Solanum lycopersicum: one gene and its partners. The main gene of each other region encodes a partner of the protein of the gene in region 2 in a complex. Links are inferred from orthologs where the notes say so. Each region holds a gene or a part of one and is shown on either strand. Other genes may lie near its edges. The genes, in order: FIE, EZ1, VIN3 and VIN3-like protein 1.

What was found.
Region 1: EZ1 (region 2) and FIE share a complex: the UniProt entries of both Arabidopsis thaliana proteins name them as parts of the plant homeodomain / polycomb repressive complex. The link is inferred for Solanum lycopersicum from reciprocal best matches to the Arabidopsis thaliana genes SWN and FIE.
Region 3: EZ1 (region 2) and VIN3 share a complex: the UniProt entries of both Arabidopsis thaliana proteins name them as parts of the plant homeodomain / polycomb repressive complex. The link is inferred for Solanum lycopersicum from reciprocal best matches to the Arabidopsis thaliana genes SWN and VEL1.
Region 4: EZ1 (region 2) and VIN3-like protein 1 share a complex: the UniProt entries of both Arabidopsis thaliana proteins name them as parts of the plant homeodomain / polycomb repressive complex. The link is inferred for Solanum lycopersicum from reciprocal best matches to the Arabidopsis thaliana genes SWN and VRN5.

What each region holds. Positions count from the first base shown.
Region 1 is NC_090806.1:68,820,424-68,828,441, reverse strand, and holds the start of FIE (fertilization-independent endosperm protein), read left to right. Parts: upstream 1-2,680; 5' UTR 2,681-2,769; coding exon 2,770-2,949; intron 2,950-4,186; coding exon 4,187-4,252; intron 4,253-4,352; coding exon 4,353-4,475; intron 4,476-4,815; coding exon 4,816-4,896; intron 4,897-5,062; coding exon 5,063-5,155; intron 5,156-5,283; coding exon 5,284-5,359; intron 5,360-6,093; coding exon 6,094-6,173; intron 6,174-6,273; coding exon 6,274-6,345; intron 6,346-6,679; coding exon 6,680-6,739; intron 6,740-6,824; coding exon 6,825-6,921; intron 6,922-7,267; coding exon 7,268-7,331; intron 7,332-7,417; coding exon 7,418-7,477; intron 7,478-7,561; coding exon 7,562-7,628; 3' UTR 7,629-8,018. Other genes in the region: pentatricopeptide repeat-containing protein At4g04790, mitochondrial, read left to right, coding at 1-54; protein CHLORORESPIRATORY REDUCTION 41, chloroplastic, read right to left, coding at 857-1,465. UniProt on the Arabidopsis thaliana protein: Polycomb group (PcG) protein. PcG proteins act by forming multiprotein complexes, which are required to maintain the transcriptionally repressive state of homeotic genes throughout development.
Region 2 is NC_090800.1:74,603,389-74,610,889, reverse strand, and holds part of EZ1 (histone-lysine N-methyltransferase EZ1), read right to left. Parts: intron 4,670-7,501; coding exon 4,585-4,669; intron 4,390-4,584; coding exon 4,234-4,389; intron 4,154-4,233; coding exon 4,106-4,153; intron 4,034-4,105; coding exon 3,962-4,033; intron 3,442-3,961; coding exon 3,324-3,441; intron 3,204-3,323; coding exon 2,804-3,203; intron 832-2,803; coding exon 687-831; intron 1-686. UniProt on the Arabidopsis thaliana protein: Polycomb group (PcG) protein. Catalytic subunit of some PcG multiprotein complex, which methylates 'Lys-27' of histone H3, leading to transcriptional repression of the affected target genes, mainly abscisic acid (ABA) responsive elements.
Region 3 is NC_090806.1:12,272,211-12,279,711, reverse strand, and holds the end of VIN3 (vernalization insensitive 3), read right to left. Parts: intron 3,242-7,501; coding exon 2,922-3,241; intron 2,729-2,921; coding exon 1,530-2,728; 3' UTR 1,263-1,529; downstream 1-1,262. UniProt on the Arabidopsis thaliana protein: Maybe involved in both the vernalization and photoperiod pathways by regulating gene expression. Binds preferentially to dimethylated histone H3 'Lys-9' (H3K9me2).
Region 4 is NC_090804.1:22,652,207-22,659,707, reverse strand, and holds part of VIN3-like protein 1, read right to left. Parts: intron 3,664-7,501; 5' UTR 3,500-3,663; coding exon 3,042-3,499; intron 404-3,041; coding exon 93-403; intron 1-92. UniProt on the Arabidopsis thaliana protein: Involved in both the vernalization and photoperiod pathways by regulating expression of the related floral repressors FLOWERING LOCUS C (FLC) and FLOWERING LOCUS M (FLM).

The DNA of each region.
Region 1 (8,018 bases), on a different chromosome or scaffold from region 2:
AAAGGGAAAAAGAAAGAAAACAAGACTGGGAAGATTGTGACATATAAGATGTGAAAAGTGGAATTCGTAGGGGATTTAGAAAATTCTTCGGTATGTGTTAGTTCTGAACATGCCGGTCTCTGTTCCTGCTACGTTTTTTTTTTCCCCTTCCTCTTTGTGCTCACTCTTCTTCATCCCTTTTCTTTTGGGTGCAGCAGTTGTATGAGATCAACATTTTGCAGTTCATGTAGATGTACAACTTTTAGTGTTGAGAACTCGTTCGTGCTTTAAAGTTGCCCTGAGACTAACAGCAAGTTGGAAGTTGATCAAGAGACGACACTTCTTTCGACTTCTGGTATCATGCCTTAAAAAAGGTTGGTGTTCCTTCTGATCTTGAAAGAGAAACATATATTCTGTATGGCATAGAAAGTGACGGACTGCAGCGTAGAGATGTTTAACAAGCTTTACGCATACAGAAAATGCTTCGTGGTGTTCGAATAATCTATCAGGGAGAACAACAATGAAGAGAAATTGATAATCCTTTTCTTTATTGCTCAAAGATGTTGCCTCTTTGAACAATTTTTATTTACTATATTCAGAAAGTATATTTCAATTGTACTCCTTGATAGTAAAGATGTAACGATTATTGATGATTTTTTGTAATACAATAGGAAAAATTTCAGCTTTTGGCCAAAAATGAAATCTACAATCCTTTCGAGGTGACCTCGTGGTTTGGACTCGGGACTTTCATATTGGAGGTGTCAATATTTAACCCTAGCCAGCAAAAGCAAGGATTTTTGCTTTCTGGGTCGTGCTCGTCGATAATGAAATACAGACTTAAATACAGTACAAGTGAAACAAAGATGCTACAAATTTGTCAAAAAGAATTAGCAACAAGAATGGCTTGCCTACAACGTGCTTTAGCTTGTTCAAGTCTTTTATTCAATGTTTCTTCTTTAACAGCAGCACTCACCATAGCTAAATCCATTTCCATAAGCTTCAAAACTCTGTACAATTCCGTCACCATTCTCTCCTCCACTTTTCCTTCGTCTTTCAACACTTCCGCTTCTTCCCTAGCTCTTTCTGCAACTATTTCTCCAACTTTCGCTAACAACGCCGTCGACCCAAAATCCCTAGCCATTAACTCTTCCAATTTCTCCAAAAAATCCATTATCACATACCCAATTGGCTTATCTAATGGAATTGGCTTTGTTCTCTTCCACCCAATTTCGAAATTTGGTGGGTCTTGCTTTATAAGCTCAGTTCTTGATTTTCTCTCACGGATTATCTCGGATTTTCGACGTTTTTCAATTGGGAATTTTTCTGGGCTAATTGTTGTTTCTGAATTTGGGGTTAGAAATTCTGGGTCTGAAGAAGATTCAGGTGAAGTGCATTTGATAGTGAATTGCTTTACGCAAGAAATTGGATGAATTGAAGGAAGAAGATGGAGATGGTGAAGTTGAAGAATATTTGAAGAAGAAGCCATTGTTTTAAATTCTCCAACAAAGTTGATAAGGTCTTATATAGTGTAGTATTTACTTTTGTCAATATACACTATTTGATAAAAGTGAATATCTAGATTGAGCTAAATATCTACCTGAAATACATTGCGTTTCGAAATATTTGTCATGTTTAATTTTTGATATTGAGAAAAAGTACGACTTGTATTATTTCTTGTGTAATCTTGACATATGGTAAACAACAATAACAACATATGTAGTGATATTTCACAAGTAGAATCTGAGAGGATAAAATATATGCAAATTTTTTCACCATCTCGCGAAGGTAAAGAAATTATTTTTGAATACTCACATCTCAAGAGCAATCAATTCAAGTATAAAGAAGAAGAAAACATAATAACTAACGAAGAAGAAACTGCAAAGTCAATAAGAAAGAAATGTCGCTAGTACAATAACAAACATCTACGAGCCTACACCCTCAAAAAGTAAAAGTAACTCTCCATACCTCCTAACCAACTATACTTCTTCGCCTATTTTCATTTAAAATTAATATTGATTAAATTACTCTCGAAAAATAAAATATGACAGTATTTTAATATAGATAGAATACAACACTTGTTTTGTTCATTTCATGTGACACTATTTTCATCGTTGAAGAATATCACTTTACTCTAATTAAAGATAATTTTACTTTAGAATCATATTTATTTTCCTGATGTACTTGATATACTTTTGTTTAGAATCTTGTTTGGTCATATGACACAAAATCATCATAAGATAAAGTTCAAATTTTATTTGGATATGTCGTTTGAACATTTTATCATGAATATAAAAAAATCATAAATTATAAAATTATTCTATATTTTTTTTACAATCTTATCAAATAAATAAAAATTTAATAAATCACATATACCGTATCATAATATTATTCTTAAAACATACCGTATTAATTGATCGAACCTTAATACTGTTCAAGGTGTTAGTAAAAGAAATTGTTTTTTTCAATTAATTAATGTCACAAACTCACAATGATATGTCTTGTGCACTTAATACAATGATGGTAAAATATTTTTATTAAGGTTTTTAAAAATAAAATATATATTCAGGTCGATTTTTCTATTTAAAACGTTTAAATTATAATTTAAAATTCTGAAAATCATATTAATTTGAAAATTTAGATCATATCTAAAACGCTAATTTCATCTCACGTATAAAATTAATCTTAAAAAAAAATGTCACTTGCGTCTTTTTTTTTTTAACAAATATTTTAGGGACACTGTAAATATGTAGAGTTTTTCGTTCCTCTCTAAGCTCTGGCGGAGTGATAGCAATGGCGGCCAGAGTACCTCTAGGATGTGAGCCAGTTGTTGGATCATTAACACCGTCAAGGAAAAAGGAGTATAGAGTGACGAACAGACTCCAAGAAGGCAAACGCCCATTATATGGCGTCGTCTTCAATTTCATTGATTCGCGCTACTTCAATGTCTTTGCTACTGTGGGCGGAAATCGTGTGAGTTTTTTCATTTGGGGTTTGTCAAAATTGTATTTTGTTTGTTGTGCTGATTCGAATTTGTGGAATATAATACTTTTCTTTTAGTAATTTGAGCTCTGGAATGAAACGGGTAAACGGGTACGTGTATGAACGACCTAATTGTTTGAGGTTGGTGGGTTGCTCTTATTGTTGTTATTGTGGTTGTTGGCTTCATGTATTACTATGAAAGTTCGAAATTTTCGTTCTTTTAGGATTTGTCTTGAGTTCTAGAATGAAACGGGATGACGGGTATGGGTGTAACTGTCCCAATTGTTTGAGACTGATGGGTTGCTCTTTTTTTTTGTGTGTGTGATTATTGGCTTCATTTATTGGTATGGAAGTTCAATTTTTTCATTCATTTGTCTTGAGTTCTGAAATGAAACGGGTTAATGTTGAAGAGTTGGTCTTCTTGTTGTTGTTATTTTTGGGTTCATGTATTAGTATGGAAGTTCAAAATTTGTACAATTTAGGTAAGAAGTATCAATCTTTTGTTTTTCTTTCCATCTTGGTCTGTCTTATTTTTTTAAATGCCTCGGGGTTAATATTAGTTGAGCTGCTGCTTGTTTCAGATGAAATTGTGCTAAAATTGGACTTGCAAGTTGCTTTAATGTTGATTGATGGTTCAAGGACCCTTTTTGTTTCCTACAATTGCTCTTATGCTTATCTTGGTAGATTCATTGATGCGTCACAAACTGAAATGTCTTTATGTAGTTATGACTTAGGATGGATGAGCCAGCTTTGTACAAACTTATGTTGTATGGTGTAATGATCGACAGTTTTTGTATGTTTCTCCACACATGCAGAGTGCCACATATTCAACAGATTTGATAATAATTACCTAATGGTTCACCTTACTATTATAAATTGTTCATGGCAAAGGTTATGATTCTCAGAATTGGGTATGGATTGTAATCTTGTATAATCTCTTAGCAGTGTGGAGTTATGCTATTATATATCTTGTTGTATTTCTAATCTAAGTTGAGAGTTATGGATGATGTAAAAGTAAATTTAGGATTTGGAGAAGTGCATGCTCTTGTTAAGTGATGTGTCTTTTATTGGTCTAGATATGTCATCTGAGAGTTGTTTCAGAATACCGAACTGAAAGAAGATAACAACAACAGAAGAATAGTACTAGCCTCAGGAAGTCAGGATATGCTTTTACTGTATGCCAATTGTCGATATCCTGACTAGTCTTTATTTTCTGGCTGTTCGTCAGGTGACTGTATATCAGTGTCTCGAAGGTGGTGTCATTGCTGTGCTGCAGTCTTATATTGATGAAGATGTAAGAAGTTGCAAGCACACAGTTGTTCCATCTGTTCTGTACATATGTTATTTCATATACTTAAAAAACTTTTGTTTTTTCCATGTGCTGTGTAAATCAGAAAGATGAATCCTTTTACACTGTAAGTTGGGCCTGCAATATTGATGGAAGTCCATTCTTAGTGGCTGGTGGAATAAATGGAGTTATTCGTGTTATTGATGCTGGGAAAGAGAAGCTACACAAGGTCTTGACATGAAATCTCTGATTCACATTTTACATGCTCAAACAAAAGTAGTTGCTCTTTTAGTTATAAAAAATGAATATCTGCATATGAGTTTTTAACAGCCCTCTAATTGATCTTTATCTTAAAACTAAAGTATTTCCTTTTTCCATGATTCAATCCATCTTATTCATCATGATATTTACAAGTTAAATATTCCTTCATGATTCGTTCCATGTTAAGTTGTATTAACAATACAAACTTGAAAGAGAAAGGTTCTCTTAAAAGTTAAAGCTAGTTACATGTTAACTTAATATCATATGTCTATTAATCTATTTTAATCTACTTTCTTATGATTGAACAGAGCTTTGTGGGGCACGGAGACTCAGTAAATGAAATTAGGACTCAACCCTTGAAACCATCTCTTGTATTATCTGCCAGCAAAGTATGTACCTTATGGATTCCTCTATTTCCTTCCCCCGCAAGGAAAAATATATTTGATCCTCTTTATTGGAAGAAAAATATTTGCACAGTTGCAAGATGTATGTGGAGTATCAATCAATTTTGCAAATATTTTACATGGCATAGTGTAATTATCACGAGTGTTACAGGATGAATCTGTTCGCTTGTGGAATGTTCATACTGGAATATGCATTTTGGTATTTGCTGGCGCTGGAGGTCATCGGAATGAAGTACTTAGTGTGGTAAGTTTCTCTGTCAATTGCAGTTCCACTCCAAGGATGGAGTTGGTCGCAAAGTAATGTCTTTCACATCTTTTACTAATACTGAGAACCAATATTTAAGCATATCAGCTGGTTTGTGATGTTTGTAGGACTTCCATCCTACTGATATATATCGGATTGCTAGCTGTGGAATGGATAACACTGTTAAGATCTGGTCAATGAAAGGTAAAACCTGTAACCCTTTTCAGTTTCACATGTATTATTGAAATACGACATATGATATAATACTAAGTATCATCACAGTCTAAAACTTTGAAAAGAGAAAAACTGAGGGTGATCTTTAGAGTAGCAACTTGTTATTGGCTGTATTCACAAGGCTTTTCCAGAATCTTTAGGGATGATGATGGTGCTATGCCTGTACTTTTCTGGATTTGGTGATTTTGCCACCGATATATCTTGAATCTCACACGACTACCTGGACGTGTTGAAATAATGACTTGCACACAATCTTCATTGTGGAATACATTAATTTATTAGCACATATTTCTACAAGGATATCTTTGTCTTTGGTTACAAGTATAAAAATGATGCCAACGTTTTCAAAGATCCAACCGCAGTTATCAATGTACCAATTACCTGGAAGGAATATTAGGCAGCATGCAGTTATCCTAGAATTTATGTATTCTGGTGTTCACAATGCTTTTTATCTACACTACTTTACTTCCCTAGTTATAGTCACACCTATCAGCAATTACCTTACTGTTGTCCCTGGAAACGATGTAGCGTTGGCTATGAGTCAGATTAAGTAGTCATCTGCTCCATTGGTGCTCTGTTGTTACACAAGTTTGAAAAAAAATAAAATGAAGTAACATCAATTTGAGTAATGTTACCAGTATATATAAAGAAGTAACATCAATATGAGCTGATATTTCTTTTCTGATGAACTACTTGTGCTACAGAATTCTGGACATATGTGGAGAAATCGTTTACTTGGACGGATCTTCCTTCCAAGTTTCCCACAAAATATGTACAGTTTCCAGTGAGTAACTCTTGTTAATTCTCTCCTTCCCTGCCTTCTTTCTTCTGAAAGTTTGGTTGGAGGATTTTTTCTTGCTGTAACCTTCTTTTTGTCCTTTCAGTTGTTAATAGCTTCTGTCCATAACAACTACGTTGACTGTAACAGATGGCTTGGTGATTTTATCTTGTCCAAGGTGAATATATTGACCTGCTTTCTACCTGAATTCTTTTTTTTTACCGTTCTTCTATATGAGCTTATTAGAAAAGAACTGTTCTATTGTATGAATTATTGGTTGGCTTTATCTTTCTTACCGGGAGATATTTACTCTTCTGATTTCGTCGAGGGGAAATCAGAGCAAATCTGGGAACCTCTGGAAAAGCAAAGAATAGCTTTCTTTCTTAACCATGAGCTGTCAACCTCAAGTTGAAAATTACTTGTTAATGGATTGAGGATATCTTCTCGTCTTTTACATGGTCTTCTCATATTTTACTTGTACTGATCCTTAAATTTTGTTGGAAATACTCAAGAGTGTTGACAATGAAATTCTATTATGGGAACCAAAGATGAAAGAACAATCTGCTGGAGAGGTTAGTTGGTCATGTTTGAACCATTTTTTTAATAATTATTTTCTAAAATTGGAAAATTTCCTAATGTATATTGCTCTACATTTAGGGCACCAGTGACGTCCTCCAAAAGTATCCTGTGCCGGAGTGTGATATATGGTTTATTAAGCTTTCATTTGATTATCACTACAAAACAGCAGCTATAGGTAATTCTAAGTGTTAAATCAAAATCTTGAATGTGCTTACTGAGTTTTCTCAACAGTTTTTCTGTTAGTGTACTGTTCACTGGATAATGCTCAAATTTGGAATCAAATGTTACTGCTTGTGTAACCCCCCACCCCCACCCCAAAAAAAAAAAAAAAATCTGGGGTTGCTGAGTGTGGCATGAAGTCATTTGTAACCCAGAGGCTGTCAAGATTATCTAATATTATCCCAAGTAAAATATAAACGAAAAGTTTTTAGGTCCATTTGTTGCATGCATGCTAGATTACTCATAGTATGTTTTGACCCAAGCTTGTTCTGGAATTCACCCGTTGACCTTATGTCTAACAGGAAATAGAGAAGGCAAGATCTTTGTCTGGGAAGTACAAACAAGCCCGCCAACTTTGATTGCAAAGTTAATGTCTATCCATCCCCCTCCCTAGTTTCTGATCCTTCTCGTTGATGTTTTGGATTTAAAGTGTTTGTGCTTAACTTTTGCAGGCTGTCTCATGTTCAATCTAAACAACCAATTAGACAGACTGCCATGTCTTTTGATGGAAGGTTAAGATCCAAAATCACTTTTTAACTGCTTCTGGTGTATGTTTTTGATATATCTTTCACTAACCGATTGTCTTTTTTCTTCAGCACCATACTTAGCTGTTGTGAAGATGGGACTATATGGCGCTGGGATGTGGTAGCAACAACTTTTTGAGTTTGAATGTACTATTATGAAGGATCGAAAGTATATCTAAACATGCAAACACACCTGTAAATTCTGCTTAACTTTATCTCTGACCTCTTTCTTGTGAGACTATCTCGATGTGCCAGTGAATCGAACTTGTACTATTAGTGCTGGACATATGGAGGTCGATGATCTGGGAAGGTTGATAGGACGTCAAACTTGTCTAGTTATCGTTTTTAGCATTATTACTATGACTCCCCTTTTATCTTGTTCTTCGTATTATTTCGATTGACAAAAATACCTTTGTAAAAGAAAGAAGGAAAAACAATCACTCTGTATTTGGGAGTTTTCTTTTGCATAAGTTATTTTGGTTTGTACTTGATTAACTTATTAATACTTTGATGTTTACCAAAATATGTA
Region 2 (7,501 bases):
CTCATGAATACTATAAAATCCATGATGATTTTTCTTTTTATTGCAAGGCTGATAGCTTGGAACAGTCTGTTCAGACTGCTTTGTCCAAGTTATAGACTGAAATTAGAAGTCTGTATGCAGCCCTAGGTTATACTACAAGAACTAAAATAATAACCTTCATGAATTAACTTTTTTAGGTAATTTATTGTAAAGTGAGATTAACGAGTGCCTGTATTATAATTTATCGCACTAAAATATCGATATGGACTTTGATGCAATGTGATGTTTGGTTTTGCAATTGGGCTAACTTTTTACTTTGAACTTTATCATTGGATTTAAGTCCATCATTTGGTAGGGGAAGCCTTTTACCATTTTAGGATTTGAAGAGAAGACCAACAATCCCATTAACACTATCCTTGTCCTTGGATTGAAAAATATCAGCATAAGGAGTTAGTTTTATGAGGACAAGGATAATGTTAATGGGATCGTTAGTATTAATATGGGGACACTGCTGGATTGAAAAAATATAAGCATTAAAAGGACAATGCTGTACAAACACCCAATTATTAAGCAGGTAAAATATGTTCCCAAATCTATGTACCACATGAACCCCTCAGTCGTCTCAAGGTCTGAGGAATATGAGGATTCATGTGTATCTTTGGGCCAATGCATCAAGTAAATGAGTTGGCATGAAGAGGAGCACAAACCATGTAATCCATGTCAGCTTTCCCATTATCCTCCGAAAATAAGCTTGAGGAGCCTCCACGTTGCGCCGCTGCTCTGTTATCCATGTAAGAGGATACCTCCATACAAGTTTTCAAGCCAGGAAGTAAGTTTCTAGCAATTAGGCAACTGCAATGAATGAGATATCCATTAGAGCTGACACATATTGACACAGCAATCTCATTTCAGCATATCAATCACAAGAATCTGTTACCAAAACTTAATCAACTTCATGTATTCAAGAAGTACGAACAAGTGGTGGGGAGGGGTTTAGAATATGATCTGCATGAAAAGAAAGAGCAGATTTCTCATGAGGGACCAGATCAGCTAGAGTATGGTGTAGCATTTACCCATGTGCTCCTTTTGTCTCGTAACATTTAAAAAAGAACTTCAACATATCCTTAATGTTGATGAATACAATTTACCAATTTCAAAAAAAAAAAAAAACATTTAAAAAAGAACTCTCCTTAAATGTAAAAGGGTCCCTGGAAGACCAGAAAAAAGATGAATGTTCCCTACTTTCACTTCTATGATTGACTGATTGATTGATACTGAGGAAAGTTCAGTAACTAATCTTGGCATAGAAAGAAACAAAAACTTTAATAGCTAACATCTGGTCTTTTATACAGGCATATCACAGGTAAAGTGTAACAACAACAACAACATGCCTAGTGCAATCCTAAGATGTACACAGACCTTACCCCTACCTATATGGGGAAGATAGACTGTTTGCCATTGATAGACCCTCGGCTTGAAAGAAAAGAAGAATTTGAAGCTCTGGCCATGAAGCTGTAGACTACATACTATCTGTGTCTCCACTCCTCCCCCAAGCCCCTTAGCCGCCAACTACACCCCCTATCACCTAGGCTCTAGTGTGAGCTAGAAAAATATCCCTGAGTTGGATGCTGATTCATTTATCACAATAATAAAAGTGAAAAGGACTCCAAAAAAATCTGATACTCGATCACCTTCATATTGTTTATTGCTTAAATGACATCAATAATACTTCTGTAAAAGATAATTTAACATAGCATAAGATCCCAGAAAATGCAGTACAGCTAAAGCCATCCCCTGTTCATAGCTCACTGACCAATTCTACTTATCTAAACTTTATACTAGCTGCAATTGCCCATGGTTCCTCACAGGAATGTGTGCCCTTTTGAATCCAAAACTTAATCAGCTCTATAATTGCCGCTCCGAAATATGGTGTTAGATGGTACAATAATATGTATGCCTGTAGAACCATATAAAGTACCTCCATCGGAAATTAATTCAAGCATCTTTAGAATGTGAAGAAAATGAGGATTGGCTATCTGAAAGCCCCAGGAAAGGATTGCTTGAAATTGGCGGGAGACACAAAAAAAATAGCAGTATATCCATATGGAAATCCTTTAAATGAATACAAAGAATGTGGACCTTCACAACAACAACATACCCAGCAAATCCCACAAAGTGAGGTCAGAATGTGGAGCTTTGGATCTTAAAAATAATTTCATAGATGTCAGCTTGGAAACACTAATGTGTGTAGCTAGAAGAGAATGGCAGACAGTTCCTATTTCTGAGTTTGATCTAGCATTGCACGCGGAAACAGCATCTTTCACAAATACAAGGTAAGGCTGCTAAATAAGACATAATGTGGTCCGCCCTTCCCCAGACCTGAGCATAGCGGGAGCTTAGTCCACCGGGCTCCCTTTAGTCTGACTTATCATTGCATGTAGCTGAAATACATTGCAAGGGTTGTAAAGTTTTAAGGATTTGTTAACACTGACCTGAGTACTCCCAAAAGTACCAAGTGACATGTGAAGACTCAGAGAGACTCCTTTTGTTTTTACCATCTAATCTCTCACTCTCTGTTCTTCTGTCAACAAGAAACAACTACGAACTACCTGACTAGATGATATCCACAATGAAAGGAAATATCTGGTGTAGCAATTTTTTGTTAAATCAAAGAAAGGTACAAGTTAAATTTGGAACAGTCATTTCCATCTTTTTCATTCACATGGACATGCATTTCTTACCACTGATGATATAAACCTATTTTAATGTAAAATAATTGTAATTCTATTATTGAGAAAGAACCAATATCAACTAAAAATCATACCTATTTCTCCCAAATATCTCTATCCCCTTTAAATATAGTTCTTTCTCTAGGGGTTTCCATTCTGGTAAATTTTTGGAGTAGGATGCATGCTTCACAGTTTCCTTTATAGTGTCCTCTCCTTCATTTGAGACATTGTCCCCAGTCTCATGCAAAGAAGTACCATGATTATAGCCAGACTGATCTGGTGCTTGTGAATGTGATACATAATCATTGGTGCTAATAGACATCCCATTGCTCTCAGATCCATCTTCTGCTGCCACACTAACAGCAGTAGGGAGTGACAATTTCCTTCTCTTACCAGAAGAATCTTGTTGGTCATCCAAAACTAGATTTGACTTCTCTAAAGTTGTGTTTATAGAATCTGATACTCCATGCTTCATTTTGCTATCAATGTGCTCGTCTATTGTGACAAGGAAACATAAACAAGTTGAACCAGCAACATGTAACTTCATATGTTATAGACAAGACAAGAAAAATCAGCAAAGCGATCTGTCATCAAAAGTGTGTGAATCATCGTCACCTGGATCTCTAGTTCTTTTGATGTCCATAGTGCTACCTCCCGCTTCTGAAGTGTGTTTTTCTAGTCCTTCCACTGGATCTACATTTGAATATTTAGTCTGGTTTGCTACACCTTTTACCTAAAACCTCAAAATGAATTTCTCCACATAAAAAGCTGAAAGTGAGTGAAAAAAGAAGAAGGGAGAAAAAGGGGAAGAGCAAGTTAGCAAATGAGGGAGCAGACAGTAGCAGTGGCAAGTATTACCAAAACTGAACTGATTATGTAATATAAAGGAAAAATTTAAAATTAGAATGGAGGTTTTAAAGTCTAGAAGATAAATGTATATTTATGATCATCTGCTCCAGAGATGGTAAACTTAGTAGAAAAATCACTTGGCATTTGACAGTCAGACCCAAAACTAGCAAACCAGCTAATACCAAAGTTGTATGTTAAAAGCAGAGCTGCCTAAATACTTACTGAAAAAGCTAAGCTGCTTAGTTAAAAAAGTTTGGGAACTAAAATACTACAAATATTCCGGACTAACTCAAAAACAAGGGTTATCTTAATAAACCAAATCAATGATACATTGAGGGGAATTCCTACCTTAAAGAGGTATGATCTACTTGCTTGTGTATAAATGTCGAAACTCAAAAGAATACCTTAAGATAACACCGATCACCACAAGGTTTTCTATCATCTTCAGAATCAGAAGAATAAGGCTGCTTTTCAATCTGCCAAATGAAAAAGACTTTCAGATTTTCATATACAAATTCAGTAGAATAAGCTGGGAAAATTATACTTACAGCATCAATAAGAATTTGTGAACAGCCATGCAGACGACAGTCGAACACCTGTATTAGTACAGGGAGCCAATTAATAACACATTAAACTTCTGTTTCAGTTTTAAAAAAAACACATTTCGATCACATACCAGACAGCGGCGACAGAAAAGGTTATCAAAGGAATCTAAAGCAGCAGTAAGGCTTTTGTCTAGAAACATGCTCCCCCCAAATCCACTTTCCCTAGAATCTTTTAAGCTTTTGCCGTCTGTATCTTGATGTTTTTCCTCAAGCACATTACAGTGCTCCTAATAAAACAAACAAAGAAATACAAATCAGATGGTATACAAATTGATTTCACAGGTAGCCACTAACAAGACAACCGTGAAAGATAGAGAAACATGTGTCAACATGTGAGCAAGACCAAACACACATAAATGAGGTAACTAAAATATCTACTATCTATAAGTTCATTACCCAATTACATCACCAACTCAGTTTACCAGGATTTCAGAAGTGGTGCCTCCAACATACTGAGTCAAGATGTCAAGAACTTCTTCATTAAGCCCAAACTCCCGTGAAGCCATCCTACAGAATCCCATAAAGTGAAAATAAGATGGCTCTGTGAGAAACAAGCAAACTGACAAGCACAAAAAAAATGTTTCCTGTCTGAAATCTGAAGGCTGCAGCTGCACCCTTTCTGTCAGAGAACTACTAGAACGAAATGCAAGCAACTCCCACCAGCTGGCTAAATATAGGTAGGATATTCTAGTTCACTGAAGGTGCTTGGAAGCTTACATAAACATACAGAAAGCTACCTATTATATCCAAGGGAGAAGTGTAATATGCCCAGGCTACTGTAGCAGGGGACTGGGGATAGGACAGGATAACTGATCATCTGTCAATCCAACAACTTAGAACAATCAAATCAACACTCTTCATACCAAAAAGAGATGATTTTGGATGTATGAGAGTCAAAGCACCTACTTTTTGGTGTATATCTGAACATTGACCTTCTTTATGGTTTTAAAATTACATATTCAGAGACTACTTGAAGTGATACAGATCAAAATGTTCTATTAAAGTACTTAGAAATTTCTATATGTTTTGATAGTATTTTTTTTGGATAACCGTGGTGCCTGGACCAGCTTGCTTGCATCTTGACCAATTCCACGGGATACCTCCCACCAGCATTATGTACAAGTAACTCTGTCCAAAAAGCCTGACATAGATGGGAAGAAATAACCTAGTGTTTTTTTTTGTCTCCGTTAAGATTTGAAAGTGAAACATGGTTCTCAACTCACTTACAACCTTTGGGGCTAATAGTAATTATAAACGGGATAAAGGGAGTATTCTTCTTTACCCATATGAGCTATGAGTGTCTGAGGAAAACCTATCATCATTTCACAAAACCAAAAATTAAGGAAATCTATGGACACAGAAAACAAAAAAAGAACAGAGCTGAAAGGAGATATTGTGCTCTGGATCTGTATTATTCAGGAAACAACAGAATAACTCTTCTAATTCTAGTAAATGGAAATCTCAAATGTAAAGAAAATGACAAGGATAAAACTCTCAGTTGCAGAATTTCTTTACTGTAGCACTTCGGAAAGTTTGAAATTTTTAAAGGCAATTAAGAAGTTCTAAACATTCTAACTACCTTAATTTGCGTTTGAATGAGGGCTAATGATATGAAGCACATCACATGGACACGATGATAAGTATACGAGGTATATTGGAAAAGATAATGGGGTCTAGGAGAGCCTTGGGGCGGGGCCAAACCAAATTGGAAACCACACTATGGACTAAAGTTGTATAGAAATGCGCACAAAGCCTTACTTTATACTAGCATTCTATGAGGAGTTATGGTGTGCACTATATATCAAATTAAAGTTTACAGTTTCCAAAGGTTCAAGCCATTAGTATCTGGACATTCATACAAGGAGATATGGCCATTTTACCAAAGACTGGCAGTACTATCACGGGTCATGCGACGCATTGCCATATCGACAGACTTCCAGGTGCATATAAAAACCAGTTTCGGGACAGAATTGGATTTTGAGAAAGCAGTTACTGTTGAGAGCTCAAAAGTAGCAATTTGATGCTTGGGAGCTCTATTACAAACAAAGGTACGTCAGTAATGATATATTTGAGTTAATTATACTTGATATACATGGATTTTAACATCATTCAAACAAACAAATCTATAAATTTTATCAAATTGTTCAAGAACACCAAAAATCCCAAGCTTACGATTTTTTAGGAAAAACTTGAAGAAGGTAAATACACTACCTAGAACTAGTTTATTTTTTTTGAGAATGATAACTTCTAGAACTAGTTTATTTATTAAGGTCCAAAGTATTCGTTGCTAGTTGTGGTGGTTGAAAGAGTTGTAAATGGAAAACTCTCATTGTGTTGGAAGTTGGATAAATGGTGAGGAAGTTTGGATATGCTTTGGCCTTTGATGTATTTGAGATACCGCATTTGTAGAAATCGACTTATTGATCGTGTTTGGTTAATTTAGTAAGTGTACCTTGGCATGCCCTTGGGGGATAAGAGCAAGTCAAAGGCATATGGAACAATGTTCCGGAGAAATGTGAGAAAAAGCTAGTGAATTGGAAAAGCAAATATTTGTCTCTAGGTGGAAGAGTTACTCTCATCACAGTGTGTTGGATGCTATGCCTACATACATGATATCAATTTTCCCAATGCGTGCAAATGTAATTGACAAAATGGATGCTATCAGAAGAATTATTTTGTGGCAAGGGAACTGTGATCCTAATGAGCAAAAATATCATCTTGTAAAGTGGGATGAAGTCATTCAAAGCAAAAAAGTAGGGGGTCTGGGGATAAGGAAACCTAAAATTGCAGAATCGAAGCCTTTTGATGAAATTGCTATGGAGATTTGCATCACAGGAACAAGCACTGTGGAAGGAGACAATCAAGGCTAGGTTTGGCATGGAGAACAAATGGACTACCTACATGCCCACACAACTGTACGGGACTGGAGTATGGAGGTCTATCAGAACTCAGTGGATCAAGTTTGCAAACAACTGTAAAATCAAGGTGAGAAAAGGGGGGAAAACACTATTTTGGGAAGATGTGTGGGCTGGACAAGAAACTTTATAGAACAGGTATCCAGACTTGTTCAACCTGAGCCTTCAAAAGGTATCCACAATTAGAGAAATGAGAGACAATCAAGTCTATCTCAGTTTAGGAGACACTTGAACGAAGGTTTAGGAGACACTTGAACGACTGGGAAATTAACAGAGTGGCTGAACTGCTCAATACTCTGGAGCCTATACAAAGATTTCACTCCCAAAGAGGACAATCTATTTCCGCTACCAGACAAGCAAGGCAGATTTTCAGTTGGTTCAGCTTACAAGACATCACAAAGATCAGTCTCTCAGAGTAGTGGCT
Region 3 (7,501 bases), on a different chromosome or scaffold from region 2:
AAATAAAAAGGACTATTATTGTTTTATATAAAAGAACAAGGATGAATGTGTGTCTATAAGCCAAAAGATGACGGACCATTTTTGACCTTTCCTCATAGAGTAATCTTCCCAATTCCTCTTGCGTCTTCTTCCCCATTGTTTCCCAAATTGAATTATGGAATTGATTGAATAGTTAAATCCCTAAGATCTGTGGGTTTCTTTAACACATTAGAGGATCATTTAGATTTAATTTTTATTTTTATGGAAGCAAAACTCTTAAGAATCCCATTAATGACTCCAATGGTAGTATATTATTTAGGGAAATGGTGAAACTTATATGGAAGACTTCTAATGTTTTTGAAGTGTTTGTGGATGAAGAGTTGGATGTTCTTGAAAATCTATAGGAAATTTTTTTACATTCAAACTTACTAATTACTAAATACTCGCGGAACAACGGAAAAAAATATATAAGTAGATTTGTGTCTAAATTGGGAATCAAAAATACCCAAGGGTTCGTTCGATATGTATTTGTAAGTATCCAATTATCGTTTTTATTAATTTATAACATTGTCATTCTAGTTGTAGGAAAAAATAAATTGTACAGAAAATTTTGGGAGTGTAAAATTGAGTGGTTGTTGCAAGAAGAGGGTATACATTTACTTTGCGTACTGCTGGACCTCCATTTAGTAGGGATCTGATTGAGCACGTCTCATCTTTAATCAACAACGGAAAGAAAGTAAATTACTAATGATAACTCATTTTCCCTCCTTTCCGAGCGTCTTCCTAGAGCTATTCTTTTTTTCTTTTTCTTTTCTATTTGTTAATGGGTCCATTTTTTTTGGTCTATTTTCTCTGTTGTACACTAAAGGGACTATTTTGAACATACATTGAAGCATCATTGATCATTTATGCCATTTTCTTTATAAGTTTAATATACAAACTTGCAGTGAATTTTATGAGAAAATGATACTGTATAGCTGCTCCCAAGAAATGTATATATATATTTGTATCTTATGTACAAGACATTTACAAAAAAAATGTAAATAGTTTTGTTTTTTGCCCCTTGTAATAATAATAATAATGTAGTTTTTTGTTTCGGGATAGAACCATTTCATGTAATTGTTTTTTTTTTCTAGTCAAACTTATTGCAACCTGGAGATGTTATGTCAAAGGAGGAAATTCAAGTTTACTTCGTTCAAAACAGATGCCAAGGACAACAAAAGTTGAGGTCATAGAAAGAGGAGGAGGACAATTTTAAAAAATTATGATTTCTTCTACAAAAAAAGAAGTAAATATCAAATCAGATTTTGTATTTCAAATTATCTTACAGAGCAATATCACTTCCATTCCAACTCCAATGTCATAACATCAGAGAGAAATGTGGATGAATTGGGTAGAACCAACCTATAAGGAAAAAAAAATAATAATTAAAGATGATTTAATCGTTTACATCATAAATATGAATCGACATGGAACAATTTGGGAATCAAAAGAATTATGTTCAGTTAAGCAGCGACTATAGAGGATAGAGGATCCACATTCTGAATCCTTTAATGCCAAAGCTTTAGGCAAAAGCCTGCTGGAACTACAGAAGCTCTCTTGCTTGAAATAACATCAGAGAAAGTATCAACCAGCTGCCCAGCAAGTGATGCTGGATCTTCGATTAGGGTATCAACAAATGCCTTGACAATCCTAACATCTTGTGGTGTAGCTCTTAAGCTATACCACGTTAAGAACTTCTGCCTGAATGTCTTGTCAATATGCTCACCACACTCTAACCATCTAACTACTTTGACATAATACTCAAAATCCTTATCTCCAGTTCCAGCACATTCTTCATGCCATTCTCCAACTCTCTTCTTTGAAGAACAGCCAACTTGTGGTCCATCCTCCTTCCCCGATCCATTATCAAGATCCTTGCTGCAATGTTCTGATTTCCCTTTCCGGCCGAGGCTTCCCTTCACATTCTCCATCTTGCAGGGTGTGATGGGTAAGCCAGCATCCACACTACCTACAAATGGTGCGAATTCTAAGGCAGTCTGGAGAGGTGCATTTGACCCATTATCAGTGCTCGTCTCTTCTGTTGTTTGAACATCTGAACATTGCTTGTTCTCAAGATTTATAGCATCAGTATTTGGCAAGGAGGTTACTTTGACAATGCTATCTTCCTCATCACCTAAAGATACCATTACTTCTTCATTTCCTATATGACTTTTACTAGCAAAGGCGACCGTGGTGCAGCACAAGTCTGTAGAAATTGCTTTATCAGTGTTATCACAACAAGAAAGACAATTATCCCCTCTGTTCTCAGCCTCATTGCTGCATAGCACGATGTTATTAGTTTCATCCTCCACTGAAGAAGGATTAGAAAGGTTGCTGCAATTTGTTGGTGGACTTTGACTTCTTTCAACTTCTAAACTTTTCATGTTCAGATTAGATAGTTCATTTTCAGCTTTACTGGAGCAGAATTGAACTTCAAACATTCCCAGTTCTTTCTTGCTATCAAGGGAAACAATCTTGAGAACATAATCTGTAGCTGGCATCAGATCTGAGAGCACAAACCTAGTGTTTGGGGAAAACAATGTTCGAGTTGGTTCTACTGGATATTCCGTTTCAACAGCTTTCCGATGCCACAAGGAGTAACCAACAACATTCTCCATAGATGACCCTTCAGAACTCAAAACAACGGTCACAGATGAGGGAAAGACATCCTCAAATCTGACAAGCTTTGATTCTATCACCTCGCAATCTAAAAAATATAGCCCATGTAAATGCTGATTACTTCACTTGACTTAAATCAAATGAGTACCAAGCTTAGACAAAGAAACCAATGAAGGCATCACAATAACACATGAAGAGAAAGGTAAATCTACAGAATCAATAAAAATAAGGAGAGTATCTATGTACTGCACAAACAAACCACAAATTAGAATGAGTATTACCTTTGACCTTAGCATTAGATGGCATTTCAGACACTCTCTCAGAGAGAAGGGCATCTATGTACTCAACAGCCAAGCCACAAAGTTGCTGAACAGCAGGGCCAAATGAGAGCCTGTTCACTATACCTCTAGCCATCTTCACAGGCAAACCAGTCAAAGGGCCAACATCTGCTTCAAGCTTGTTCACTGCTTCATCTAGAACTTCATACAGCTTTGGGCAATTTTCGGCACCAAAAGAAAGTTTTTGGCTCAATGAAAGCCTATAACATAATATGTCTACACGCCTGGTATCTCTTGCTACAATCAGTTGTTTTTTCAAGGAACTGCAAGAATTGGAGAAATAGAACATCTTTAATCCTAATAAAAATAGCTTGCTTTTTAATTATAGAGGTCTGTATCTCACAGTAAATAAAAGAGGTGATGTACATGTCATTAGTTCTTTGACATTTTTCCTTTATGGATTCTACAACCATCTCACTAAACTATGTTTCATATTAATAAATAATGTTTTTATAACATCATCCAACCAAGTGCATACAAATGATTAACATGTTATTCACTAAAATATAGTGGCCTAAAACCAAATTATTTAAATTTTAGTTAATAACATGTTAGTCATTTGTCTGCACTTGGATGATGTTATAAAAACTTTATTTATTAATATGAATATTTGAGTTGTTTGATTTGAACTTCTAAAATGTTTCTAGTGAAAGGTAGATTGTTTTTTTTCTCTTCATTTTTAAAGCTATAATTTTTTTCTTATATTATTTTTTTGTACAATCTTCAAAATATTGTTTTTTCAAGGAACTGCAAGAATCAGAGAAATAGAACATCTTTAGTCCTAAATAATAAACATAGCTTGCATTTTAATTATAGAGGTATGTATCCCACAGGCCACAGTAAATAAAAGAGCTTATGTACATGTCGTTAGTTCTTTGACATTTTTCCTTTATTGATTCAACAACCATCTCACTAAACTAGTCAGCTGCATCCTGACAATAGTGGAAATAGTTCACTATAATTCAATAATGCAATTGAAAATTAAGTTCACAACAGCAGTACACCTTAGTCCCAAACAAGTTGGGGTTTGTTATATGAATCCTCATTGATCATGTTATCCATTTAAACTCACAACATGCCAATATTTTGCAAATACAAATAAAAAGTAATAAAAGTTCTCCATAATTTTTTGAACCTACAAATCTCTGAAATGCTAAACCACTACTATAAAGTATAGGGCAGTAAAAGTGCTAACATGCCTAAAACAAATTTTCAACTAATACTCTAATAAGCATTGACTACAACAATAACAGAACTCCTGTAGTCCCACAAGTGAGGTGTGAGGAGAGTAGGACGTATGTAGACCTTGCCCCTACATTTGTGGGGCAGAGAGGTGGTTCCGATAAACCCTCGCCTCAAAAGAACAGGCAACGAATATCTAGATTTTTATCCACTGTGCCCCACTTCGCTATGTCTGCATGGGTTCCCAAGGATTTTAGGTCCTTAGATGCATTTTCCTCCTCTTTTAACACTTACCTTCACAATGGTTGCACACCTATAGACCGGTGTATTACACTGCAGATTGACACATGATGAACAAATTATTTCAAGAAGCTTTCGGACATTTTCCCCTCGACGTGTGCTACTTAAACATTCTAGTAATATAATCATTTCTAATCTTGTCAAATTTAGTATGACCACAAATTCATCTTAGCATCTGTATTTCTTCAAAATTCTTCTTGTAAATGTGTTTAACTTTCACGACCCAAGAATCACTCTCATAAAGCATTGTTGGTTTTATAACTATTCTAAAAAACTTACCTTTCACTTTGGTAGGCATCTCTCTACCACATAACAACCAGAAACACTATTTTGTTTCAACTATTCAATTCTGATTCTATTTGTAACATCTTCATCTATAATTTCATTCACCCAGTAAATTGCCTGCATGGAAAAAAAAAAACACAATTTCCTATCTTCTTAACCTTGTTCTTTTATCGCTTGAAGCTAATGACGTTTGAGTTAGCAATAACATGAAAATGTACCCCCTTCATCTTTGGGTGCAAGAATTCATCTCATTCAAGAACTTGCTTGGACAGCGTTACAATCTGTCTTCTCCGGTGAAATTTTGCCGCCACACTAACCACTCATCGGCCATCTTCTTCACCGGCGCCAAAACTCCCTGTGACTATTTCTCTCTCACTTTCTTGGACCCTGACTCTAGGGTTTTCTTTCACCACCGCAGCTCGTCCATCACTGCCACTGCTCTGGAAAGCACATCTACTCCAGCAACTCTAGAGTTTTCTTTCTCCATAATTCTGGGTTGGGTCTCAAGTTACAAGGGCAGCAGCAGAACACGGACCGCTTACCTCCCCAGTGCCCGGATGAAGTACCTCCTATCTCCTCTTCAAGTTACAGGTTCTATCTTCCCAAATTATTCCAGTTTCACATCAGTTTGCCTTCAGTTTCTGGTTTTCAGATTTGTTTCATTGCTATATGCATATCTAGAGTTACATTTCAGATCTAGTTTTCAGATTGGTTCCCTATATTGTCTTCAGATCTATCTTTCTTGTATCATTGTTAATTGTGTAATATTGCATATCTCTATCCCTTCTTCACTTTGCTCTTGATTTAACTCTGCCCTCGGACTCTTCGTTTCTTGATCCATAGTGCCATATATTTCATAGTTCTTGTGGTTTCTCTGGTGTTAGTATTTTGGGTATACCCATATTCTAGAGCTAGTTGCTTCAGTTCATTCTGTATAATATTTCTTGCTTTTCTTCTGTTCTTATTATAGTTAATTAGTCCTAGTCTCTCTGCTTGATTCAATAGTTTTAGTAGATTCTTATTTCTCTTGCATCTTGTTTAATTTACATCTCCTTTGGTGGCTTTGGTGTGGTCGAATAGGATCATGTCCAGGGGGCAAGGGGAAGGGATGGGACATGAGTTAAGTGACCTCATCTTGTATCATGTTGGTTAGACCCTCGTCTTGTATTATGTTGGATAGCTCATCCGTAGCTAGCATAAACAAGTATGGGTTCAATGACAATCCCTGGTGTAAATCCATGATTACAAGATCTCCTTCGCATTCCCTACTACAGTTCTCAGGCTAGTGAAGACTCTTTCATACATGTCTTTTATGACTTTTATATAGTTAACAGGTCCTTTCTTCTCCGACACGACGACACCCACCAAAGAACCTTTCTTTGTACTCTATCATATAATTTTTCTAGGCCAATGAACACCATGTGCAAATTTTGTCTACGATAAACTTCCATCAATCTCCTACACAAAAATGTAGTCTCAGATGTAGATCTACAGGGCATGCACCCAAACTGGTTATCTATTACTCTTGTGGTGTTTCCAAGTCTATGCTCTTATCATTCTTTCTCATAATTTCATCATATGACTCATACATTAAATGCCACAATAGTTCGCAAAACATTGAATATCACCTTTATTTTAATAAAAATTGGAATCAAGGTACTCAATCTCCACTAGTACCAAAAAGGGGAAAAGAGAGAACAACAAAAACTAGTTTGGTATGTAGTGTTCATGTCTGTACGTGTTCATGAAATATACAAGGCCTTCAATCCCTCCCATCCAAAGATTTTTTGGAACAAAATAGGAGTTGTTTACAAACTGGCTTATGGAGATTAAAATATCTGCAAAAACTATCATTCAATAGGATCACAAAAGGAAGTGACAGACAGACTCGCAGCTTATATCTATGCTTCCCAATTTTGAACCATCCGAAGATCCAGTGAATGCTTACAAGGAATAAGCAATATGCATGTGACATCAGAGAAACTATAAAATAAGCCAAATATCATGGAATAACTGAATGTTTGGACAGCATAATATTAACATTAGATTTGATTGGATGAGGAGAAAGAGTTACTATAAACCATAATAGATACGTAAAACACCTACAAAGATGTTTGAACTTTGGAAAGATGGTCGATCGTCAGAAAAAATCTGTTAGAACTTCCTAAATATTAATGGTATCATTCTTCTTTGGATGGAATAATCTCAAACACCGTCAGAGAAGTAAATCTACATACATGTTCCATAATTCATACATGTGACAAGTCTTGTTTTTAGTGGTTTATACATTTATTCCATCAGATGTCCCAGACTATTATATATTCAGGGCATGGAAATTTCAGTTATCAAACTGACAAACTGAAATCCAAGTATCAAACCCAAAACTAGATCCCCTTAGGAGATCTAACTTGTTGTTCTAATGAAGTACAGTCAGACTTCGCATAGGCTAGAAATGTCCAAGATATAATAAATGTTATATATCTGCCATCAGCAAATTCATTTACTATACAGAAGACCATACTTCTTTCTTTTTTTTTACGGTGGTGTCAGGGTCAACTTAGACACACCTCAACTAATTCCACCGGGATGTTACCTCCCATCAGCAGAAGTACCGGGTAACTCTACCCACCAAACAGGAATCCATACTTTCATGAATAGAAAATAACCTTGGTAGCACAACCAACTTGTTGGCACTGATATCTGCTTAGAATGGTCTTCCCCAGTAGTCCTAGGAGTCCCTTTGCCACAATAAAGGT
Region 4 (7,501 bases), on a different chromosome or scaffold from region 2:
AAGTGGCACCAGGAAAGTAATACAAATAAATTACTCTAGCTTCAATTTGCCGCAAGATAACATCACCTAGAAGAGTTTATAAGAAATGGTACCTGAGGAATTAGGAAGTTTGCTAGTCTTTGTTGCCAGCCATTCATCACCCTTCTCAATGGCAATCGAGCACAATGACTGAACATCGCTGGCAATAGAAAGTCTGCTAACAATTCCTCGAGCCATCTTGGATGATACTCCATTCACTGGGCCAACTTCCATCTCCAATTTTGCCTTGGCTTCTTTAATAATTTCATGAAGTTCTTTAAATCTGGATGTCCCATCCAGGAGCCTGAAACTCAGGTATATTCTGTAGCAGAGGACATCAACACGGCGAGCATCCTTAGCTACACAAAGCTGTTTCTTCCAAAACCTATCAAGATCAACAGGTGAAAAGAAAAAACATTCAACTTGCAACAAGTCTACTAGTGGATTACAAAAAAAAAAAAAAAAAAAAAAAACAATTTATGCAATTCTTGAAGTTGGGACCATTACTGATACAATAATGGAGCAATATTTATCAAAATGAAAACAACAAGATGAACAAGCATTACTCACAAGAAGATAACTAATGCTTCCCTTCATGCAGGAGGGGCTAAAATGGATGGGTAAAGTTGCAGAATCATTACAATGAAAAGGATTTATAATGTCTAGCATTTTTTAAAGGACAGCTTACAGCCTAAAATTCACTCACAATGTCTTAAGAGTTACATGTTGATACTTAAGAAGAAAATGGCCAAAAATGCCCCTGGACTATAGGAAAAGGTCTAAAAAACCTTTCATCCATCTTTTGGTGTAAAAATATCTTCTACTCATATTTTTGGTCTAGAAATACCCTTGTATTCACTTTTTTGGCTCACTCATACCCTTGAAACTAACAACACTCTCTTTATTTAATTATATTTAAAAAATATTTATTATGTGTCATTTCTCTTATAGAATGAAATAAGAACTCCATCTCAACGATATGTTCCCCATAATTTATCCAAGTCAAAACAATACTCCCTCCGTTTCAAAAAGGTTGATCTAGTTTGACTTGGAACGTAGTTTAAGAAAAGAAAGAACACTTTTTATTTAATCTTGTGGTTCTAAATTAAAGTTATGTCAAATGAACCAAAGTGTCCTTTAATCCTGTGGTCGTAAACAAATCACGTGGAAAGTTAAAGTTAAAGTGTTGCAAAAAAAGGAAAAGGGTCGTTCTTTTTGAAACAACCTGAAAAGGAAATAGGGTCATTCTTTTTGAAATGGAGGGAGTATAAGTCTTCAAGACCCTAATTTATTTTCATTTTTTTAAACTCAAGTAGTTTATTGTATTTGTGGTAGCTTTTTATTTTTTTAATTTTTTTTTAATCCAGCTACTCTCCATTTTTTTCTCTATTTTCCTCAAGCTCTTACTTGGATTGAAGACACACAACATAGAGAAAAATAAATGGCTAAGATTTAAATAATTAAATCAAGACTCTTAACATGATAAATAATTAATATTTCATAAACAAATTAATAATGTCATTATCATACTAATATTATCTTATCCATAACATATTACTACCTCCGTTTCAAAAAGAGTGATTTAGTTTGACTTGACACGAAGTTTAAGTAAATAAAGACGACTTTTGAATCCTGTGGTTCTAAATTAAAGTTATGTCAAATGTACAAATTTGCTCTTTAATCTTGTAGCCTTAAACATGCCACGCGGAAAGCTGAAACTAAAATGTTACCAAAAAAAAAAAAGAAGTCATTCTTTTTTAAACAGACTGAAAAGGAAAGAAGAGAATGTCATTCTTTTTTAAATGGAGATGGTATAAAATTCTCTTCTTTTCTACTTTTCTTATCCCTATAGGCTACGAGCATGTATCTTCTTTTTTGTTCTGAATTGAGTTAATCTTTAGTTATAGTCTTTTATGGAACTTTCTCTTCGAAATTAGTTATCACAAAGATCATTAGTAAAAAAAATTAAGTTATCATTTATTTTTATTTTTTAAATTTAACGGAGGATAAACAAGCTTAAGATTTATGAATAATATTAAAAAAAAAAAGGAAAAAGAAAAAGATTTATGAATAATATAACATCTCTATAATTGTGAAATTATTAATATTTTTATAATATGTTAATTGTCTAAAACAAACTTTTAAAAAAATAAGTTACCGCAAATACAAATATTAAGTTTTTCTTTAAAATATTTTTGGGGTGTGGAAGAGGTAATTTTTTTAAGGCGGGTTTTTATTTCATCCAATAAAAAATGAATCATAATTAATATTTTAAAAAAATAAAAATAAAAAAAGGATTGTTAGTTGCAAGGGTTAAGTGATCCAGAAAGGTGAATGGAAGGGTATTTTTTAGACCAAAAGATGGATGGAAGGTATTTTTAGACCTTTTCCTATATTTCAGGTGTATTTTTGGCCCTTTTCCACTTATGAAATAGCTATCGACTAATCTGATCAACCAGAAAATCAGTAACAGAACTTAAAAAAACTAATCAAGATTGAACAAAGAATAAACAATCAACATCTTTGAGAATTTAAACAATTAACATCTTCACTACTGCAAAGTGACAATAAAATAATTTTAGAGGAAGATGGCTTCAAGACTTCTCCCTCTGCACAGACTTGTGCCAAGGGAATAAGTCCTCTTTCAACCTTCCAAATGTAGGTTCACAGCATGCAGAGTAGATTCCTGAGTCACACATTTTTACCCTCAACACACACACACATAAATTTCCAGTGAAAATACAACTGCTGGAAGCTCCAAATCATTCGTAAGGTAGTTCTTTTCATGGTTCTTAAGTGTGCATCAGAAGAGGTTGGAAAGGACTTGGTGAGGCAAGTCAAAGACAGAATAGGTCAAGGGATTTCAGACAGAAGTCCAATCCAAAGAAGGATGTTACAGGAAAGAAGGAAACAAGGATATACTCACCCTACCACCTTGGTATAGTTTTAGTTTGGCTTAATACTGAACGAACATATCAGCATTGGAAAGGGAGAACTGTTATACTTATCTAAAAGAAACTTACCCAAGAATTCCAGAAACTTTACCACAAGAAGCACAACAATAGCTCCCATCTAGCTGCATCAGTTGTCCTAGATCAACAACTCCCACCTTCCCACGTTGGAGTGCACACTCAACGTGACAAGTCAGGCCACAGGAGTCCCCCTGACCAGATTCAGATGTGCACTCCAACCAAAGACTAGGATCCTTGTTGTCATCAAATAAGTGACAAATGCAACAAGAGCACCTCTTGCAAAAAGTGTCATCTATAGAAATAGTTGCCCTGCATGCAGAATTTTTACAAATCCATGAATTTGAACATTTCACATCAGCATACTGCTCCGCAGCTGATAGAATTCGGAGAGGGTTTTCCCCTTTTCTGAGCTGCTTTCTAGAAGAATGATCCTTGGGACTTGAAGATACTCTTTTTTGTTCTTGAGTCTTTAATTGCTTTTTACTCAACTTTGGGAATTGCTCAGACATTTTGCACTAGGATAAAATCAATAGCTTCTTTTCCTTGACCTGGTAAAACTCCAAGATATCTTTCCTTTGGACCAGATTTCAAGAATTTCTGGAGTGCCTTTGAACTTCTTGAATTTTCTCTGTAATGCTTTTCAAACTGGACGAAACACTAAGAACACCAAAAACTGGATATAAAGAACACATGAGTTAGCATACAAAGAATCAACAGTTGTGGCAAAATGAAAAAACTGAGTGGATCTCATCAAAAGAAATGTAACAAGGATTTGTATCCACTAACAGAAGTATGATTTGACCTGTCTTTTGAGCAAGAAAGTTCGTATATAATTGCTTGCAGACTGTCAAATACTCGATACAGAAAAAGGAGAGGTACAGGACGATTTTCCATTGCATTTAAAGATCTCAGAAACTTAAGTCCATTCCTGCCCATGGAAACACACACACACACACACACATATATATGTCGACAAAATGAAATTTCAGTGGCTTTTGAGTGTCAATAACTGACATTTCATCCCTTTTTCAAGGTGAAGTCAGAACTTATGACATATGAAATAGGCAAACTTAAAAGGGAGTTGAAGTTTATTACATCATTTATTTAATGCTACCGAAAATGATAATCCTGCATAAAATTTTCAGAAGGAACTTCAAGAAATATGAAGAGTTGAAAGCAGAATCCATTTAAAGATGAAGAAGTTAATATAAATGTCACAAGAAAAGAGTACAACCGAGAAGATTTATAGAAAGGTCTAAAATACTATTATTACTCGATATGACTGAAAGGCATTATCGTTTTTTATCAAATGGAAATCTATGAACTTCAGTGAATAACAATTTCTATCATCAAACTGTAAAGTCTATAGAATCATTATATTAAGGTACAAGAAATGGACATTGGAGAATAATCCTATAGCACTTGGGGGTCGTTTGGTAGTTGGATCGAGTTATAACAGGTATTAGTAATGCTAGTTATGAGGGAATCTATGTATTTTTCTATATACACCTTATGCAGGGTTTAGTTATTCAATTATTATTATTCCACCTTCTATCCTGCATATAATAATAATAGATTCCCTGGTAATAGTTATGCAAATTTCTAATTGCAAACCAAATAGCCTATTATTTTTATACATGAATAATTTACCTCTAAGCAACAAGACAAACATGGTATTACTTATGCACGATTTAATACTTGATTAGCCCACCTTCAAACCAGCTACCAAATGACCCCTCACATCTTTGGTCATATAACTTTATAACCACTTCCCCATTGTGAACACCCACACCCCCCAAAAAAAGTAATGAAGTGAAATAATAAATCTAACATGTAGGTTATCGTTCACAATGTGATGGCCTTCATTAAGCATTAGCATTTCAATGTTCATTTTATTCTTAAATAGAGACACATAAACCATCTTCCTCTTGAAGTAACCAAAAGCCACAGGGTTAGCATCAGAAAACAAGAAGAATGCGCTAATTTTAAAAACGGGTAATTTTGGATTCCTCAACATTAAGGGTTTGTTTAATTAAATTTGGTGTAATTGGTGCAATTACACTGTCTTGTCCTGTTTGGAAGGACAGGTAATTGCTTTGTCAGCAGGTAATTGTGTATGGCAGGGGGTAATTACACTCTACAATTTGCCGGTAGAGGCTGTGAATTGCTGGTAATTACATTACTTTTTAATTTCTTTTTTTATTTCTATTTTAATTTTTTTGTTTAAATTTTTTTACTTCTATTATTTTAAGTTTTTTTTAAGTTATTATCCTAAAAATTTGTAAAAGTTTATATTTTATTTTATATAATTATATTTCATTCTCTTCTTGTTCTTAACCTTACTTTACGTGATTCTTTCTCATTAGCATAATTTTATTAGTATTCCAATTTTTGAATTAAAATTTATTGTTAAGTATGATTATAGAAATATGTTTTTTTATTAAGAAAAAATAAAAATAAATCATATTTATTGCTGTGCTGAAATTTGTTGTAAGAGTATTATGTTAAATTTTTTGTTTTGAATTTATAACTTATGTTATATTTTCAGTTTCATTTGTTTTAGTAATATTGAATTTTACATTGCACGTCATGTTTTGATTAGACTTGATAGATTATATTTTTGTCAAACATTTAATAATTTATGACATTTTATTTATATATTATTCTTTTTATCGAACATGCATTTCACCATGTTCGTAGAAATTTCATACTTTTAGTTGTTACGATCAATTCAATTGAAATATATTAATTTGAAAAAATATAAATCAATTATTTTTTCATAATATTAGTTACAGAAAATATGTTTATTAATTAATATATTTTCAACAAAGAATATATATCGTAAATATTTTATTTAATGTCATTTATAAAGTTTCTTATTTGACTAGTATAAAATTTAAATAATTAATTTTTATTCTTAAAATTTGTTATAATTTTATGATTGCTCTTGTGCATCCAAAGAGAACATGTGTAATTACATGGTGGCATCCAAACAGAACATGAGTAATTATAGTGTAATTACACCGTGACAACCAAACAGGTCAGTGTAATTACTAGACAATGTAATTACTACCCTAGTAATTACATCAATTCCAATTACCAAGTGGCTCTCCAAACAGACCCTAAGAGATATGTTGGCAGCCAAACAGGACATGTGTAATTATAGTGTAATTACACAGTGACAACCAAACAAGTCAGTGTAATTACTATACAATGTAATTACTACCCTAGTAATTACATCAATTTCAATTACCAAGTGGCTCTCCAAACAGACCCTAAGAGATATGTCGACAGCAACCTCCAAAAAGTGAGCTACAGAGTGGTATTAATTACAAAACTCCTATGAAAGTACTATCTATATTTCATCATCTGTACTCCTTCCTGTTCCAATTTATATTACTAACTTCATATTTTAGTCCGTCTCAAAAAGAATCAAACATTTCTTTATTTGGCAAGTATTTAATAACACCATCAACATTTTCCCATATTGGGTCCCACTTATTTGGCAAGAAGTCTACAAAGGTGTACTCTTTTAGGTAATTTAGGAACATCGCAAAGTCTTTCCATATTTCTTTAACTCAGTGTCAAGTCAAACTACATCACATAAATTGGGATGGAGAAGTAAGTTTTTTACCCTAGAAACATGAACTAATACAATTCCATTTGATCTTCTGAATGGAACTGGATCTGCCTTCAGAAAATTTACCATTCTCTCATTCCATATTCCACATATACAACTTGGGACTGTTCACCATATCTTCTGTCTTTTAGTACCTCCAACCCCTCTATCCAGCAGCTTAATAAATTTGTTGGGTGTTCTGGCATAGTCCAACTTTCCTTAGCGAAACTAATAGTTGTAACTTTACATAGAAGAAACAAATGGTTATTCTTTTATGCTGCCTCTTGATGTAAACAACATATAGATGCTACTTCTATTCTTCTTTCCCGTAGAATGTGTAAGACAAGCTCTCCTCACAACCAGCCAAGCAAAACATTTCATCTTAATTGGTTCCATGTTCTTCTACACAAACTTCGCCAGTTGAAACTCCTGCCAATTCATATATTCCCCTTGAATACGCCTGCTCAATGTAAATACTCCATCACTTTGATGGTTCCATCTGACTGTATCATCTTCAATTTTTGTGCCCAACTTCCCACTAACTCGGTAGTTTAGCCACACAATCACTTCCCATTCACATAGCAACCTTCTCAATGTTTGGTCCCAACCTTGAGGTGCAAGATTCTTCAACTTTGCAGTCAGGTTTGCCACTAATAGAGAACAACATAGGAAAAAGTTCTTGTGGCATTCCATTTCTAGTCCAATTGCCTTTCCAAAAAAAATCCTATTGTCATTTCCTATCATGTTACAGACACTTCTCTTGAAATCAGGCCACAGATATCTAATAGATCTCCATAGCCCTACACCATATGTTTGTAACCTACTTTATACACCAGTGTCCTTCTTGGCAAAATTTTTGCTGGACTACTTCCTTCTAGAGAGCTTGATGCTC